Coturnix japonica: one gene and its partners. Each later gene encodes a partner of the first gene's protein in a complex. Links are inferred from orthologs where the notes say so. Each region holds a gene or a part of one and is shown in the gene's direction. Other genes may lie near its edges.

Region 1 (5,256 bases):
TACGTGGCCGAAGCACTTGAAAGCACTGCAACACCCCTGGGTAGCAGCGCCTATTTCTAAAGCTTTACACTCGAATTCTACCACCAAATTTATTTACTAACAAATTCTCCACGTGGCTCTTCCTCCCAGCTTTGCCATAGAGGAGAGATGGACGATGAGAACCCGAAGAACAGCTCAGCACTGCGGGAAAGGAGGGGGGGGTTCGTCCCGACCGCACTATAGCGCTGTGCCATCCCGGGTGGGGTATGGGGAAGGGGGGGGGGGCACAATGCTTGTATATTGCTCGGTTTAAACGATCCCGGAACGCTTCTTTCTATGGAGGAAAAATTATTATTTAAATCGGGAAATTCATTCGTTTTTAAAATATATTTTTTAAATTTTTTTTTCTAATTTATTTTATTTTATTTTTTTTGATCGGGGGGACGGGGGAAAGCGGAACCTCCGGCCCGGCGGGCAAGGCAGGCAGGAGCGCGTTACATTTAATTGCAGGCACGGAGGGGCCGGCCCGTGCCTCTACATGCACGGGAGGGAGTCACGGCCGCCCCCGCCCCTCCGCACCCGGCAGCCGCCCGCACCGAGCCCCCGGAGCACCGGGGTCCCCCCGCCCGCCCCGTCGGGGGAGGCAGCAGGAAGGCGGCCGGGTGGGTGGTGCCGGTTGGGGGGTGGTGGTGGTGATGGGGGGGGGGGGGGTCGCTGCTATTTTCAATCCATCTCGAACCTAAAAATAAAAAGCCTCCAGAAAAGGCGAAGAGGGAAAGAGGAGGGAGGGTTTCTAGGGACGGGGGGGATGGGGGGCTGCTTCTCTCTGCCGACGGGACGCGTCGTCTCCCCCCCCCCCCCCCCCCCTGTGTCTCGGGGGGAGCGATCCCGCTGCACCGTGGGGCCCTTTTGTGCCAGGAGGAGCCTTCCCCCTTCCCCGAAGGCTTCCGCAGGGCTGCACATGAAGGGCTTAAAACAATACCGGGGACAATAGCCCTCCCCGGGGGCTCCTCCGCTCACCCCGCCGGGTCGGGCCGTTCCCCTGCAGCCCCGCTCCCCTGGCGCCAGGGGACCTCCCGGCCCCTTTGATGCTGAAGTTGGATTTTTTTTTTCTTCTTCTTCTTTTTTTCTTTCTTTTTTTATTTTCTTTTTTTTTCTTTTTTTTTTTTTACACCCAGAAAAATCCCATTCAGGCACCGGGGGGAAGGGGGGGTGGGGGATGGGAGAGATGTAGGGGGAGGGGCGCGATGGGGGCTGGAGGCTGCACAGATGGGAAAGTGCCTCCGACGGGACGGGACGGGCGGGGCCCGAAGGGTGGAGTGGGGGGGTGATGAGAAGGGGGGGATGGTGGTGGTGGTAGTGAAGAGAACACGGAGTGGGTGCGCTCCCCGATCCGAAGAGGGGTGTGTGTGTGTGTATGTGTGGAGGTAAATAACGTAGTATTTAAATTAAAATAAATAATTAAGTGGAAGCTGCCCCCTCCCCCCCCCCTCCCCTTCCCTCCCACCCCCATCGTCCGGCCCCTCCCCCCCGGGGGCTGGGCCCTCCTGCATCACCACGTGGCTTCCTCCCGCAAACATTTTCACTCATTTTCCAGGTCGGTTTTATTTAGAGGCGGTGCCCGGCTGCCCAAAGGCGTCCGGTGACACTCCGGTGCCGCTCCGCCGCTTTGGGGGCCCCCGCAGCCGGCGCCGCCACCGCCTCCTTCCCCGCAGCCGTCGCCTATTGCAGCCACCCCCCTCTTCTTTAGGACCCCCCACCTCTAACAGCAGCAGCCGCCGCCGCGCCCCTCTACGAGGAAAACTCCACCAAACGACCAAAAAAAAAAAAAAAAAAAAAAAAAACAAAAAAAACCCCACCCCGAAACAAAAAAAAAAGCAAAGGAGGGGGGAGGGAGTGTGCAAAGAAAAGGACCACCGAGCTTCAAACCCGGCTGTGGGGTGGCAGACGGCGGCTGCTGTCCGACGGTGCGGGCGTACGGTGGGAGCCCCCCCGGCAGCCGCGCTCCGAGCCCCGGCGCGCCGCCACCGCCCGCCCGCCGCCCCCCGCCGGCAGCCACCATGAACAAGCTGTATATTGGGAACCTAAATGAGAGCGTGACTCCGGCCGACTTGGAAAAAGTCTTCAACGACCATAAGATTTCTTTCAGCGGGCAGTTTTTGGTTAAGTCCGGTTATGCCTTTGTGGACTGCCCCGACGAGCAATGGGCCATGAAAGCCATCGAAACTTTTTCGGGTAAGCGGTGTCCTTCGGTTCTTTCGATCGGAGAGTTGCGGGATCCGGTCGGGATTCGGGTGGGGAATAGGGGGGGGTTCGGGCCGTTACGCTCCGTCGGGGTTTGTATCAGCGAGCGGGGCAGACCCCGCTTCTACCCCATTAACAGCGAGCACTTGGAGGGGGGAGAGAAGGAGAGGGGTCCCCACTGTTCCCAATGGCTTCGTGGGGGTTACACGGTGCCCGTCCCGGTGGTGTTCGATGCGGGGGTCCCGTCGCGACAGTGGGGTGGGACTTTGGCCATTTTGATTTCAAACTGGGTTTCCTGGGGCATGTGATGCGCAGAGGAGCGCGAAGGTCGCCATGCTGCTCGCAAGACGGAGGGGGGGGAGAGTGGGAAGGGAAGGAAGGGGGGGGGTGGAAAGAAAAGCTCCCCGGGAAACAGTGAATTTTTGAAAACGTTGGAATATTTTCCCCTCGCCTAAAGCTGCTCCCTCCGGGCTCTCCCCATTGCTGCTCCCCTCTTCTTTTCCCTTCCCTCCCCCCCCCAATTAATATATAAACCGGCGGTGTGGAAATCCGCCCCCATTTTCCAAGAGAAATCCATTCGTAGCGTGGAGTTAAACAATTTTTGAGCCCCTTTTTAATGGGGATGAGGAATGATCTGGCCGGAGTTGTTGTGAACGGCTCAAACGCGTGGAATTCGAGGGGGGAAAAAAAAATTGATCTCAATATATTCTGCCTCGTTTTCTTTCGCTCGGAGCAGAGCTGAATGAAGGACGGGATTAAATATTCCTAAGGAACATTGTTCAGACGGCGAACTCATTGCTCCGCATTAGAAGTCAGCCTTATATTTAATATAGCACACTTATGATCACACGCACACACGAAAAAGCCTTTTTTAATGCAGCTTGTAGTGATTGGAATGAAATGGGAAGTTTTACATGATAGAATGTTACCCAAAGCTTTCTGACCACCCCACCCAGATCATACAAAACAGCCACATTTTGTTTTTAGGGAAAGTGGAGCTGCATGGAAAACAGCTAGAGATTGAACACTCAGTACCTAAAAAGCAAAGGTAATACGGTGTTTTAATTACTTTTTCTTTATGTTTTATTTTTTGGAGGGGGGGAGGAGGGGGAAATAATAACGTAAGAGGAAGGAGGCAAAAAAATTATATCCAAATATGTGCATGTGGAAGGAGATATGGTGGTGGTTTGGCTTTGGGTATGGCCCAGCGAGGTGAGGAACGGCTCTGAGGATCAGCGTTCCCTTTCGTATCTTTAGTGTATTTTTAAAGGAAACTTTTCTTTGGGATTAAGTTTTGCTTCAGTTTGTTTGTTAGGAAAAAATAAGACCAACAACCCCAAAAAACAACCCTGGGTCCCGACGATTCGCCTTCCATTCACCCAAGTGATGAATGGCGTTTGGGGTTGGAATTTTCAAACTTGTGGCACTGGAAGAATTTCCCAGTGTTGCTCCATGAGAAGGACCCCAAAACCTTTTGTTATTTCCAAGTTTTTAAACACCCTCTTTGCTTATTTTGTCATTTACGGGTGAAATTTGCCTGGGATGGAGGGCGAGGGTTTAAAAACGAACATCAGTAATTAAATAAAAATGGGGCTGGTTGCGTGTTGGTGTGAGGTTTTCAGCCCGGCTGTGTGGGGTGCTGGTTTAGCTCCTTGTTGCCCCTCAACTTGTTGTTTTTTAGGGCTGGAACCCCATTTCTTCATGCTTTCCCCAGGCGTTGCGGCCCAGCTCGGCCTACCCAGCCCTCCCCATCTTCTTGGCCCTTTGTTGCTGAGGGCGCGCGGGACGCTGGGCCTGGAGGGCCCTGAGGGTTCAGGCAGTGAACTGCTGGGCCCAGGGGGGATTCACTGTTGTGTGTGGGGGTCTTTGGGTTGATCTTGATCCCTTCCCTAGAGCTGGGTGAGCTCTCCTCAGGGCCTGGTGCCCGCGCTGGGCCATGCAGCCGCTCCGCCACGTGATGGGGCGGCCGCCCCGGCGCTCAACATGGTGTAGAAGGAAACTCTTCCTTCCCCAAACTCTTGTTTTTTTTCTGCTGGCTGAGGACCCCTTTGGGGAGCCTGTGTAGACCTGGCCCCACTGGGAGGCTGTGGGGTTTGGCAGCAATCCTTTCCTTGCAGGGGGCCATGCCCCGCGGTGGAGCCGACCCTAAAGGCAGAACTCCATTTAATAATGTCCCCTGTAGGGTTTTCCAGACCCTCCTTGTGAAATGGGGATCGATATCAGTCATTACAACGCTCAGAATCTCCCTTTGGCTCCAGTATCAATGAATCTAAGTGTGTTATTGGAAAGGCAATTACCCTACGAAGGGTAACGTAATAATGCTCAAAAATAAATCAGAAAAAATAAAAAGGGGAGGGGGATGCATCACGATTTCTTAATTATTTGTAGTCCTTTTGGTGATCAATGGGTTGGGGGAGCAGAGAAGATCTCAGAGTATTTCCTTGCTCCCCTCTTTTCCCTCCTCTGACTTTTGCTAAGAGCACTCCGGGAGAAATTCAATGGAAATGTAAATATTTCTTTGGCGTCTGTAATTCAAAGAAATGCTGGGTGAAACTTTACAATGGGTGGAAGCAAAGGGAAGGTTCGTTAGCGTGGTTTAATAACCAGGAGAAGTGCAGTTCATTACGTCTGGTTGCTAAATCCTGAGGCTGGGGGCGAGAGGGGGCTTTAGTTTGAGCCCCATAGCCCCATCCGCTGCCTTTAAAGCTGCAGGAGCCATTTTTGCTGTTGACTTTCTTCATGTGCTTTGCTGGAAATCGTTTCATCAGCCGTGATGGGGTGGCTGGATGCTTGGTGGGGCGGTTGCTACAGTTTCTTTGCCTCGGTTTTGGGATGTGAGTTTGTGTTTCTGGATCAGCAAAGGCAACTGTGGCACAGCTGTAAACTCTGCAGGTTGTTGGTGGACTTTTCTGCCTGCTTTGCTTTCCTCTCCTCTCCCTGGATAAAGGCTGAAATGATGGCACCGTGTCGGTTTTGAAGTTGCCTTTTTTTCTTCTTACTGCTTGTTTTTAAGACTGGATTTTCCAGTTTAAA
Region 2 (4,820 bases), on another chromosome or scaffold:
AAGTTGGTAGTTCTACTCCTTAAAATTTGTGGTTGCAGCCATTGGTGTGATCAACAGGACATTCTAATGTATGACCCAAGAACTTGGCTCTTCTCTTGCAGGCTATGGCAATGTGGTTGAACTGCGCATCAACAGTGGTGGGAAGCTCCCCAATTTTGGATTTGTGGTGTTTGATGATCCTGAGCCAGTTCAGAAGATCCTTAGCAACAGGGTAAATAAACTTTCAGTCAGGCTTGTTGCTCTGTTAATAACATGCAGTGTTTTTCAAGGTGCTTCCAACACAAAAAGGTACAGTCTGGTCCTGTGCACAAGTAATATCTTTACTTATTCAGTTGTTGACAGAAGGGGTTGAGAGGGAGAAACTATACTAATGTACAGGTTGAAAAGAGTTCCTTGTAACAAAGGAAAAGTACCTGCATAGTTTATCAGCAGTGATTGTTCATGGAAGATGTGCCTCCCTTGAGTGTGTATGGCATGGTGGTAGGCAGTGAATCTGGATGCATCTAAACTGTGCCATGTGCTCCCTTGCAGCATGGTTTTTCAGCAGGTAGTGGCATCCTTTCTTTAATACTGTATTGTCCCCTCTATTTCTGGCCTTAAATTGAAAGGTAGCTTATCATAGAATGGCTTAGATTGGGAGGAACCTTTAAAGATCATTTAGTTCCATCCTCCTTGCTGTGGATGGCAATTGCTTGTTCTAACTGGAGCCAGAAAGTGGATGCTGAATTCTTAGATGTGGAATGTGTAATAGGCTTTCAGTACTTACTCATTTAGGGTATCTTTCATGCAGGCTCATGTAAATGCTTAAGTAATAGTGATTGGACATGCTTTTCTAAAATTCAATTGTTTTAAAAATACCTGTTTAAACCTTTGAAAGCAATTTTACGTGCCTCCTACTTTGCTTTGAGGAGCACTAAATCCTTTTGCTTTGCAAGGAGACCCAGTGCTTTGGGCAAAAATGTGTCCTGAAACAGTAGACCAAAGTGAAGGTCTTCACTGGCTTGCATAGCAATGTGTTAGAGAGGGCCTGCCATTCTTCAAGCCATAGGATAAAGCTGTTTGGGACTCTGGTGACAGACTGAATTGGTGTGTATTAGTGGGATCAGGTTACCCTGCTAGTAGGTCAGGTTTTTTTTAAGAGGTATTGGAATTCTCAGCATTATCCTTTCTATCACATTTTCAAAAGTGTCACTTTTACACATCTCCAGCCACTTTTCATCTTCTATAGCCAAGCACGAAACAAGTTATATAGTTTGACCACAGATATATTCTAAGTTATGAATGCTTTTCTTTCCTTGGATGGGAAGAAGAGGATAAGAGGAGGTCGCAGAAATCTGCCTGACTTTTGGAGCCTGAATTCTTAACAAGAATATTTTCTCTTCTGTTACAGCCCATCATGTTCAGGGGAGAGGTGCGCTTGAATGTGGAAGAGAAGAAAACAAGAGCTGCCAGGGAGGGTGACCGCAGAGATAACAGACCACGCGGACCTGGAGGCACTCGCGGGGGGCTGGGAGGTGGGATTCGAGGGCCTCCACGTGGAGGAATGTCCCAGAAGCCAGGATTTGGAGCTGGAAGGGGGATCGGGCAACGCCAGTGAATGCATCGTGGATGTTGACACGGTGGTGCAAACCCTTTTTACCTGCAGATTTGTGAATTTCAGCCTTGGGTATCTTGGAATGTGGCCCTAGCCTGTTATAGACTGCTACGTTTGATACTATTTTGGCCCCTTTTTGTTTGTGTTATGGTTTTGTGATTGATTTATTTTTTTCTAGTCCTTGTCCCAGATTCCAGCTTTGTGGAACAACGCTTTAGGAAAAGTGGATTTTAAAAACAAAAAAGAAAAGAACTGAATTTTCTTGCTCACCTCAAACTTACGGACTGGATTTTTTTGGTACCAGTGGTCTTTCCTAGAAGAACGTCTTTGTTTTCTTTTTTTTTTTTTCCTCCCCTCTCTACTGAATTTGGGTGCATTTCAGTCAGTGGAATAATATTTCACATGCATGCGTTCAAGAGCCTATAGGAAAACATAGTACTTGGCAAGTATTTCAAGGTCAGGAAAATAAAACTTTGATTTATCCCTTGAGGGTCATACGAACATCATCTGATCTGGAGTTGTTGCCACCCTGAAAATTGACGTTCACCTTTTCTCTTTGTGGCGCTGTAAGAGAGAGAAAAAAAAAAGTGGAATAATGAGTATCCATAGAATCTTGTCTTTCTTTTTTTGATACATGATCACGGAAAAGAATTCTAACTGCTGTTTTACCACTTTGGAAAAATTTTGGATTGTGGGATAGGTTTTAAATGTTTAGAACTTGACTCTCAAAACACTTTTCCTGAACTTGTGGAATTTTTTTATTGAAATAGGGAGGTTTTTTTTCATGTTTAGTTTGTATTTGTATAAAAAAAAAAAAGCAAAATTGTTGTGCCTTCTATTTATCTCTCATTCCAGTCTTGGCAAATTGTTTAAAAAAAAAATAATAAAAAAGGTCTAGATTTGCTTTATCAAGTCAAGAGTACGCTGGAGTTCTTCCATGGGGAAGATGTACCTTCCTTCTGTTGCTAGGTTTGCAGGTAGAGGTGGTTATAGCTCAAGTCTGTAATGCTGTCTGTTCTTCTTCAGTTTGATGGTGTTTGAGTAATCAAAACCAAGTATTTCATGGATGCAGAGTTTGGGAATTTTGCTTTTGAGGCTGGGCAGTTTCCATCACTGATGTTATAGAAGTACTTCTGTCATGTTCTCCACGTTTCTCTCTACTGTGATAGTTTTGCCATTTAGGCATTAATTTAATTCCCTGCTTCTGCCAGACCTGATAGATGGCATAAGCACAGAAGGTGCCTCTCTGTCCTGGATTACTACATGGAACACTCTCCAGCACTCCTAAAGAAGCTGAAGCTGATTTAAAAAATAAATATAAATTATGGGGATTTTAGGATCAAAACAGCACTATATTTCTGTGTAAATATCTGGATAGCAATGGCAGTCTTGAGTTTACACCAGGCCTCAGCATTCTTGGTTATATACAAGAACTATGTAGTAAGCTTCTTTATCTGTGCTAGGGTTTACTGTTTCCATGTTTCTTTGGTTTATTGATATAACCTCTGTGCAAATGCAGTACAGACTTCTTGTGCTTTGCTTGCTCTAAAGCTAGAGCAAACCTGCCCTACTGCGAAGGGTGGGTAGGTATTACCTGTTACAGAGCAGTAACTTACTGTCACTTACTTGCCAAACATAGTGGTTGAACCTGGCTGTACTGAATGTCAGTAGTTGGGTTTTGTTCTGTTTTGGCTTCGTCTTTAGTGTTGCGTCATTTCCCTCCTGAATGTTTCTCAGATGTCTCTATGAAGTGGAGGAGAGCTGAAATGAAACAGCAGTAGCTGTTTGTGTGTGCCCTCTCCCAGGCAGAAGTGCTAGAAATGCATACTGCTTCCTCTTGTGGTCATAACTGGTATTTATTTTCCTTTGTGGGGGGGAGGAAAGAAGAAACAGCTTTTCTCATTAGGAGCAGCCATCGAGTGAAGGTGTGCGACAGAACTGTTTCACTGAACTGTCCTTGTTTGTGTTAATTCTCATATGTTGTTTCTGGTGTTCTTGATGTTAAATCCAAGACTGCAGTCACAGGTTGCACTTCCCAGCTGTGGAGGTGTTGTTAATAAAAGTTTCCATTGCTCTTAAATCTGTGAAAGCATCCATAAACGTGGGGGAAAAAAACCCAACTTTTGTGTAGTTTTGGAGTCAGACAATTCTGGCTCACTTTCATCTAAGCTGAGAACTGACTGAGGAATGTCAGTGAAGAACTGAAGCCTGTGAAGTGTATGCTTGGTTTTGTGTTAATGATACTGGCTATGTTAAACAGTAAGACCCGGAGAGTGATCTTGTCAGGTGACAGGTGAAATAAAAGATTTACAGAAACCTTTTTCTTGGGTATCTTGTACAGAAACACTTCTCAGAAGCAAGTTATGCTGCCAGCACCTGAAATGGAACATGGGGTGACACTTCAGGATGTCTTTATGGTTGTGTTTTTGTGCTTACCAAATAACCAACTATGCTGGAAAGACCTATGAGACTTCATATTGGCTTTTTTTGTTTAAAGCTCAGTAGCCTCATGCTCTTCTGGTTTGTGCACTGACTGTGCTGTTGGAAACGCTATCTGTTTTCTGAAGTCTTCAATTCATTGTGTGTTTTAATGGTGAAGGTGTGATTGGTTGTCTCTGACTGCACTTAGGCTGGGATACCTACAGCAAAGGTAACGTCTGATGTTTAAATTCCAGAAGCTCTTTTTGGATAGAAAATGCCACAAGGAGATTTCAATTGAGCAGAACCCCCACATTTCCCTGTTGGAACCTCTGGTTTAATCTGAATGGTGAAGATTATGAGTTGGTCCCAGCAGCTTCTGATTCCGCATCTGACAATCTTCTCAATCAAAGTGTATTTTTAGTTCTTTCTTTACGTGCTGCCTGAGGCGAAGAGCGAATGACACACTGGCAGTTTCCCTAATTACTTCCTGCTAAAGCATGCGCAAATTATCTCCGTGATTATTTCATTTCCATGCAGTGCCATTCTTCCCTTGGCTGGTAATGTGGAAGAACAACTCTCTTAAGATCCTGATAATCTTGTTTGCATGTTGTGTGGGAGGTGGTTTAAAGGGTGTGTGAGTGGTGAGGTATTAATAGCTTATCTTGGGAGACAGAAAACCATCTGAATGCTTTCAAACCCCATTTCTTAAAGTTAACAGGCTGTGAACTTCTGATGTGTTGATGTGTTCTCAGACTTGAAGGGCAGAGTGGTGTCCTATGTACCATCACAGAATGCCAGTTGCAAT
Region 3 (5,468 bases), on another chromosome or scaffold:
AGCTGGAGTTTTGTGTCCTTGCACATGAGAGCTCTGGTGCTTTCCTAATAGACTGAAAATGAGACTACTGCTGCTTTATAAGAGGTCTGTTCCAGCCACATTGCTCTACAGCTTGGCAGATGGTGGCATGTGAATGGTTTCATATTGATTGGATGGATTTGCCTCAGGATAAGAGGAGTGTGGGGCCTTCAAGATGCACTTCTGGCTCTTTTTTTTCGTTCTTTTTGTTGGGGGTGAGGGGGAGGGAAACGTATATTTATAAAACACTTCATTTGAAATCAGAGGAGTATACAGTAATCCAAGCACTGAAGTTACCTGGAAATAAAAAGTCCTTAAATAGATTATCACAAAGTCCAGAAAGCCAAGGATACTTATTTACTGAATGGTTATGCTTTTACATTAGAAGAAAGTGACACTTTTAATTAGTGTTCAAGGCATATGGTGAATGAGAAAATAAGCTTATTTCATGCAAACAGAAATCGATGCAAATAACCTTTCTCCTCATATAAAAGGGATGACTTGAAACTCAATACATATTCAAGAAGGTTAAGTCATTACTGCATCACTTTAATATTAGTTAAAGGCCAACAAAGAAAACCGCTACTCTGTGTGTACTTACTCAGCAAGGATTGCTGTGTATGAAAGAAATAGCAATACTTTGTAGGTGAAAAATCCAAAGAAGCCTTGGTCCGTATCATGCTTTTTTTTTTGTTTAATCACAGAAAATAACCTTTTGGGTTCTGCCTTTGTGCAGGTAGTGGCTGGAAGTTCTCACAGCTGTCTGGCCTGGCCTGCAGAGGCACTTGGTATTTGTTGTTCCTTCTCACACATCTGTTTTGTGCTCCCTTAGTATGTTTTCAAATCCTTTGTTAAGAATCAACTTTTAGTAGTTTGCATAGCACCGAGTGTGAAGGATCCCGATCTCATTCAGGCCTCTGGGTGTTGCTGTAGAGCACAGAGTACATTTGTTTTCTGTAGTAATGGAAGTATTCCTTGAGGTATTTGGCCTTATGGAAGAAGGGGTTGGTGGAAGCTCGCAGACATGGGAATGGGGAGTTTGATAAATGAGGAGATTCGTGCACTGTTAAAGTGTATTCTTCCCATGCATTTTTCAGTCATGTGCTTTGATGCGTGCAACAGTGATTTCATAAATGAATTTAAGCCAAACTACGTCATGGCATTATCTTATCAAGTTGTCTGTGATTTTGCTTGGAGGTATGGTTAGTATTTCCTAACAGACTCTACCCACATGTGAATTATTTACGTGCTGGATGTTGTGTTTTCCTTACGCACTGTCACGCTGAGCTTGATGCTAATTTTGTTCCGCAGTACAGACCATGTCAATGGGTGCGTTTTCCGTTCTAATTACATTTTGTTCTCTGAACTGACTGGGTGTAACCATTTAGTCCTTTTATTTGCTGAATGAAATGCTCCTGTGTAAATTTTAAGTTCCCTTTAAAAAAATAATGGTGAAAGTTTTGGGTTTTTTAAATTATTTGCCCTCCCTGAGAGGGAAGTGCACAGAACAGTGCAAACCATACGTATGTATTTGAATCATATACATGCTTTTTTCCTCCTCCTGCTTGATAAGTGTAGGGGTGTGGGTTCTGCTGTATCACAACCTAAAGCGATTGCAAGAAGAAATGTTTAAGATGGTTACTTGAATTTGTGTACACTGCCCACCTGGTGGTTATGGAGTGAACTGTTACTTTAAAGAATAGTTTAAACAACAGCCATGTTTGGGGCAGGCTAATCTTGCAAAGAGAGCAGTACATATAACAGGAGTCTACTGTGTGATAAGGGGGAAAATTCAGCTCACTGACTAGATGTTTTAATGTGCGAACTCTAGGGAAATAACATATTGACTATTCTGTTGTGCGCAAGAAAATTGAAGAACCCTTTGCAGACAGAGGGCTTGCAAAGGATTCTTTCTGTTTCTCTTAACCAAAATCTGTGGCAAGATGTTTGAAATCAGCAGGACGCTTAATGCTGCTTTGTTAAATAATGAGGTAATATTTTGTCACTTTTTCTGGGCAGCATCTGTTTTTTCTCCTTTTTTTCCTATGTTTATGAAGGCTTCAGATTAATCTTCTGAAAGTAAGAGATTAAAAAAATCGTTCTTTGATTTATTATGGTTTTTTTTTTCCTTTCCTTTCGATGCTTTTGGAGAATTGGGTTGTCTTTTATTTGCGGTTTCAATCGGCTGCTGTTGCCTAGGACATTATGCCACGTAAGGCTTCTAAACTGCACAGAGTAGGTAGTTATTAACGCTGAATTGGCTTCTGGTATAGTCCATCTGGGCTCTGTATGAGAGAGCTTGCTAGCGGCTACTGATGCTAAGATACCCGCAACCTTTGGGATGTATGCGTGGTGGAGAGGGGCTCAGTGATATGAGATCACTTCTTTTAAGGGAAACTGTCATTAATGAGTCAAGAAACTGCTCATTTATGGTAAGGAGAGGGAGGAGGGGGGGTGGGGGGGCTGGGAAACAACCCTGTGATTTCATTTTGATATTGGATAAGCTGTTTAAGACAAGTTTCTATTTTGTGGGGATGGAAGACTGCATTAAAAATATGCTTGCTGGTGGATTCTGGAGGGGCTGTATTGAGAATTTGATGCTTTACGAATGTGCCACAACTGTGATGCCGTGGCCAGGCGCTTACCCTGAGAGATAAATGGTACTATTGGAAAGACGAGAGAATAAGGTTGACTTTTCTTTTCCAACAATAGGATTCTGCCTTTGTCTTTACGGAGGGGAGGCCTCTGAGGACGGTTGAGCGTTTGTTTTAGTGCTCCTCAGAAAGCCTGTGTGTGTGTGGGGGTGTTTGTGGGGAACGCGGTCGGTGTGCGGAGCACCTGGATTTATAGAGAAACGAAAGAGCTGATTTATTTTGTTAGCGGAGCAGTGTTCAATTATTGCTTCAGAAAAATGGCTGAATCGTGTGATATGCAGAAACCAGTTTATAGCAACCAAGTGAGCTCAACTTGGAAAAGACATGAAAAAATAATTTCTGGGTTTTCTTCTCTAATTGTTATTAACCCAGAAGAGACCATAAGTAAAAAAAATTTGCATTACAAATTTAACTTCAGTATTCGGTGTATATTTGCACGTGAATGTATGGTAATAAAGCGGCTCTGTAGCACTGTGATGCCGGTGTGTTTGAGTGGGTCACCTCTATATTTGAGTTGGGAAACGGATCTTCTGTGTGACTTTAATCTCTGCTAGTTTTTACCAAGCTAGAAATGTGCTCAAAAAGATGTATGGGGAGAGAAACCCTCCGCAGCATCCTTACATTGTTCCTATTTTAATTGAATTCAGTACTCATTCCACAGCCAGGCTGTGTGATGTCTCGTACATGCGCTTTTCTCTGTGCTGGGTCGGTTTGGAGCTGGGCTTTGTATCTGACTGTATTTAATACATTGTATTCATGTGTTCGGTGAGCGTGTGTACGACTGTGTACAATGTGAGGTGTACGGCATGTCGGCTCTGAGCTGAGCAGCTCCGAGGGGGCACATTGAGATTGAGAAATAAAGCGTAACTTGTAGAGCAGTGTCTGTCCAGCTGGGTGTTTTCAGAGGTGTGTGTAGTGGTTCGTTCAGAGCTGCCTTTCCTGCTCAGAAGCAGCTCTGTGTGCTCTTAGTGTGGTGCTCACCCACTGCTCCGCTTTCACCCCAGGTTTAGGAGCGCTCCGTTAGTACTGAACTATGAGGGACCATCTTTACTGCCAGGAATGGTGGAATGAGGCGATCCCTGCGTGCGTGTGGAGCTTTGCGCTTTAGTGGGGGTGAAAGCCAACTCCAGGTCAGCTGTGATGAAAGGATGCCGTGCTGGCTCGGCCAACCTGCGAGCAAGGAATCTCAGAATATGGACTAGGGATCTCAGGATGTGGAATGGGGATCTCAGGAATATGGGATAGGGATCTTGGAATATGGGATGGGAATCTCAGAATATGGGATAGGGATCTCAGAATGTGGAATGGGAATCTCAGAATATGGGATAGGAATGCGCTGCTGTGTGACAGCTGTCACTAACCCGCCGCTCTCGGGGCGGTAGATGCGCTGCGTGGGGCGGCTGTTCTGTCAGCGGAGGCCGCGTGTGTTTGCGCTCACGGTGAACTCGGGCACGCTCCGCTCAGCACAATGCCGGCCGAGCGCCGGGCCGCCCCCAGCCCCATGGAGGGGCGTTGCGGTGCGGCCGTTGGGGCGCAGGGGGCAGCAGGCCTCGAGCCCGGCTCCCCTCCGGGCGGCGGTGCTGGGAGGGCCGAGTCGAGGCGGTGAGGGGCCGCGCTGGGCCTTAACGAGCGGCGCGGTTCGGAACCCCGCCCGGTGCCGCTGCGGGCGGAGGTCAGCGGCTCATTAACACCGTCAATCTGGCGGCGGCTCATTTCAATAGCACCTGATGTCGCGACGCCTCCCCGCGCGGCGGCGGCCAATGAGCGCGCGTTCGCCGCTGACAGATGGGGCCATAAATGGGCGCGGCGCGGGGCCGGCGGCAGCAGCGCCAGCAGCGGCAGCGCCAGCAGCGAGCGGGCAGCGCGGCTACACCGCCCGCCCCGCGCCCACAGCGCCCGCTGCCCACACTGTGCTTGGTGGATCTTAACAAATACCAATAAAAGTCAGGTCCCCGAAAACCTTAGCCAGTCTGTAGAAGAGTTGAAGCCTTTCAAGACCCAATATTTGCCATTAAGAATGGTTATGGTAGGTATTGGTAGATTTAAGCTCGGTCGCAGCGGGTGTCTGTAGAGGTAGACGTAGAGGCTGACATAGATTTCCCCAAACGTGCATCGCTCTCCGCCTGTCTCACACGGGGGTGGCTTGCTGTGCTTGTCCATGATCTCTCCCTCTCTCTTCCCTCTCTCTCTCTCTCTCCCTCCCTCCCTTTCATATTTAATGTCTGCGCGTCCTTTAATAAAGGATGTACTCTGGTTGCGAGGTGGCGGCGGTGCGCTCGGAGCGGAGAGCAGCGCTGATGCCGGGCGGTGCGTGGCTTTGTGCGAGCGGGGGGTGCGTGCACGGCGGCGTTCGGAGATGCGAAATCCTCGAGGGGGGGTGGGGGGAAAAAGGAGGGGGGGGGGAGGAGAGGGGAGGACAAAAAAAAAAAGCCTCGAGATTGGTAATTTTCTTTTGGTGGACTGCGCAATAGGTATGGTAATTTTAAAAGCGAGTGATTTATATGAGCTTCGGTAAATGCTGCATATTGTATTTCAAAGAGTTTCCTGTCATGACCTCATAAAAAGAGGAGGAGGCTGTGTGTGTTGCAGCGCCTAGTCTATGTCGATTTTGTTGCATCGCTGGGCAGCCGCGCTGTAAGAAGGAATGTCAGCTTTTACATAACGCTCTCTTTGCTTCCGACTCGGTGAGGGGCTCTGAGGGTCCATCTTGGCGATCCCAGATGGAGTGGAATGGCCTGAAGATGGTAAGTGAGCTCGGCGCCTCGCCCCGCCGCACCGCACCGCGCGGGGCTCTTT

Evidence for each region.
Region 2: IGF2BP1 (region 1) and G3BP1 share a complex: the UniProt entries of both Homo sapiens proteins name them as parts of the TAU mRNP complex. The link is inferred for Coturnix japonica from reciprocal best matches to the Homo sapiens genes IGF2BP1 and G3BP1.
Region 3: IGF2BP1 (region 1) and ELAVL4 share a complex: the UniProt entries of both Homo sapiens proteins name them as parts of the TAU mRNP complex. The link is inferred for Coturnix japonica from reciprocal best matches to the Homo sapiens genes IGF2BP1 and ELAVL4.

The regions. Positions count from the first base shown.
Region 1 is NC_029542.1:3,036,219-3,041,474, reverse strand, and holds the start of IGF2BP1 (insulin-like growth factor 2 mRNA-binding protein 1), read left to right. Parts: upstream 1-1,552; 5' UTR 1,553-2,039; coding exon 2,040-2,214; intron 2,215-3,210; coding exon 3,211-3,271; intron 3,272-5,256. UniProt on the Homo sapiens protein: RNA-binding factor that recruits target transcripts to cytoplasmic protein-RNA complexes (mRNPs). This transcript 'caging' into mRNPs allows mRNA transport and transient storage.
Region 2 is NC_029528.1:5,179,213-5,184,032, forward strand, and holds the end of G3BP1 (ras GTPase-activating protein-binding protein 1), read left to right. Parts: intron 1-80; coding exon 81-211; intron 212-1,390; coding exon 1,391-1,597; 3' UTR 1,598-3,674; downstream 3,675-4,820. UniProt on the Homo sapiens protein: Protein involved in various processes, such as stress granule formation and innate immunity. Plays an essential role in stress granule formation.
Region 3 is NC_029523.1:21,013,540-21,019,007, forward strand, and holds the start of ELAVL4 (ELAV-like protein 4), read left to right. Parts: upstream 1-2,273; 5' UTR 2,274-2,333; coding exon 2,334-2,450; intron 2,451-4,280; exon of another isoform or gene 4,281-4,689; coding exon of another isoform or gene 4,690-4,698; intron 4,699-4,859; exon of another isoform or gene 4,860-4,890; coding exon of another isoform or gene 4,891-5,004; intron 5,005-5,127; exon of another isoform or gene 5,128-5,392; coding exon of another isoform or gene 5,393-5,416; intron 5,417-5,468. UniProt on the Homo sapiens protein: RNA-binding protein that is involved in the post-transcriptional regulation of mRNAs. Plays a role in the regulation of mRNA stability, alternative splicing and translation.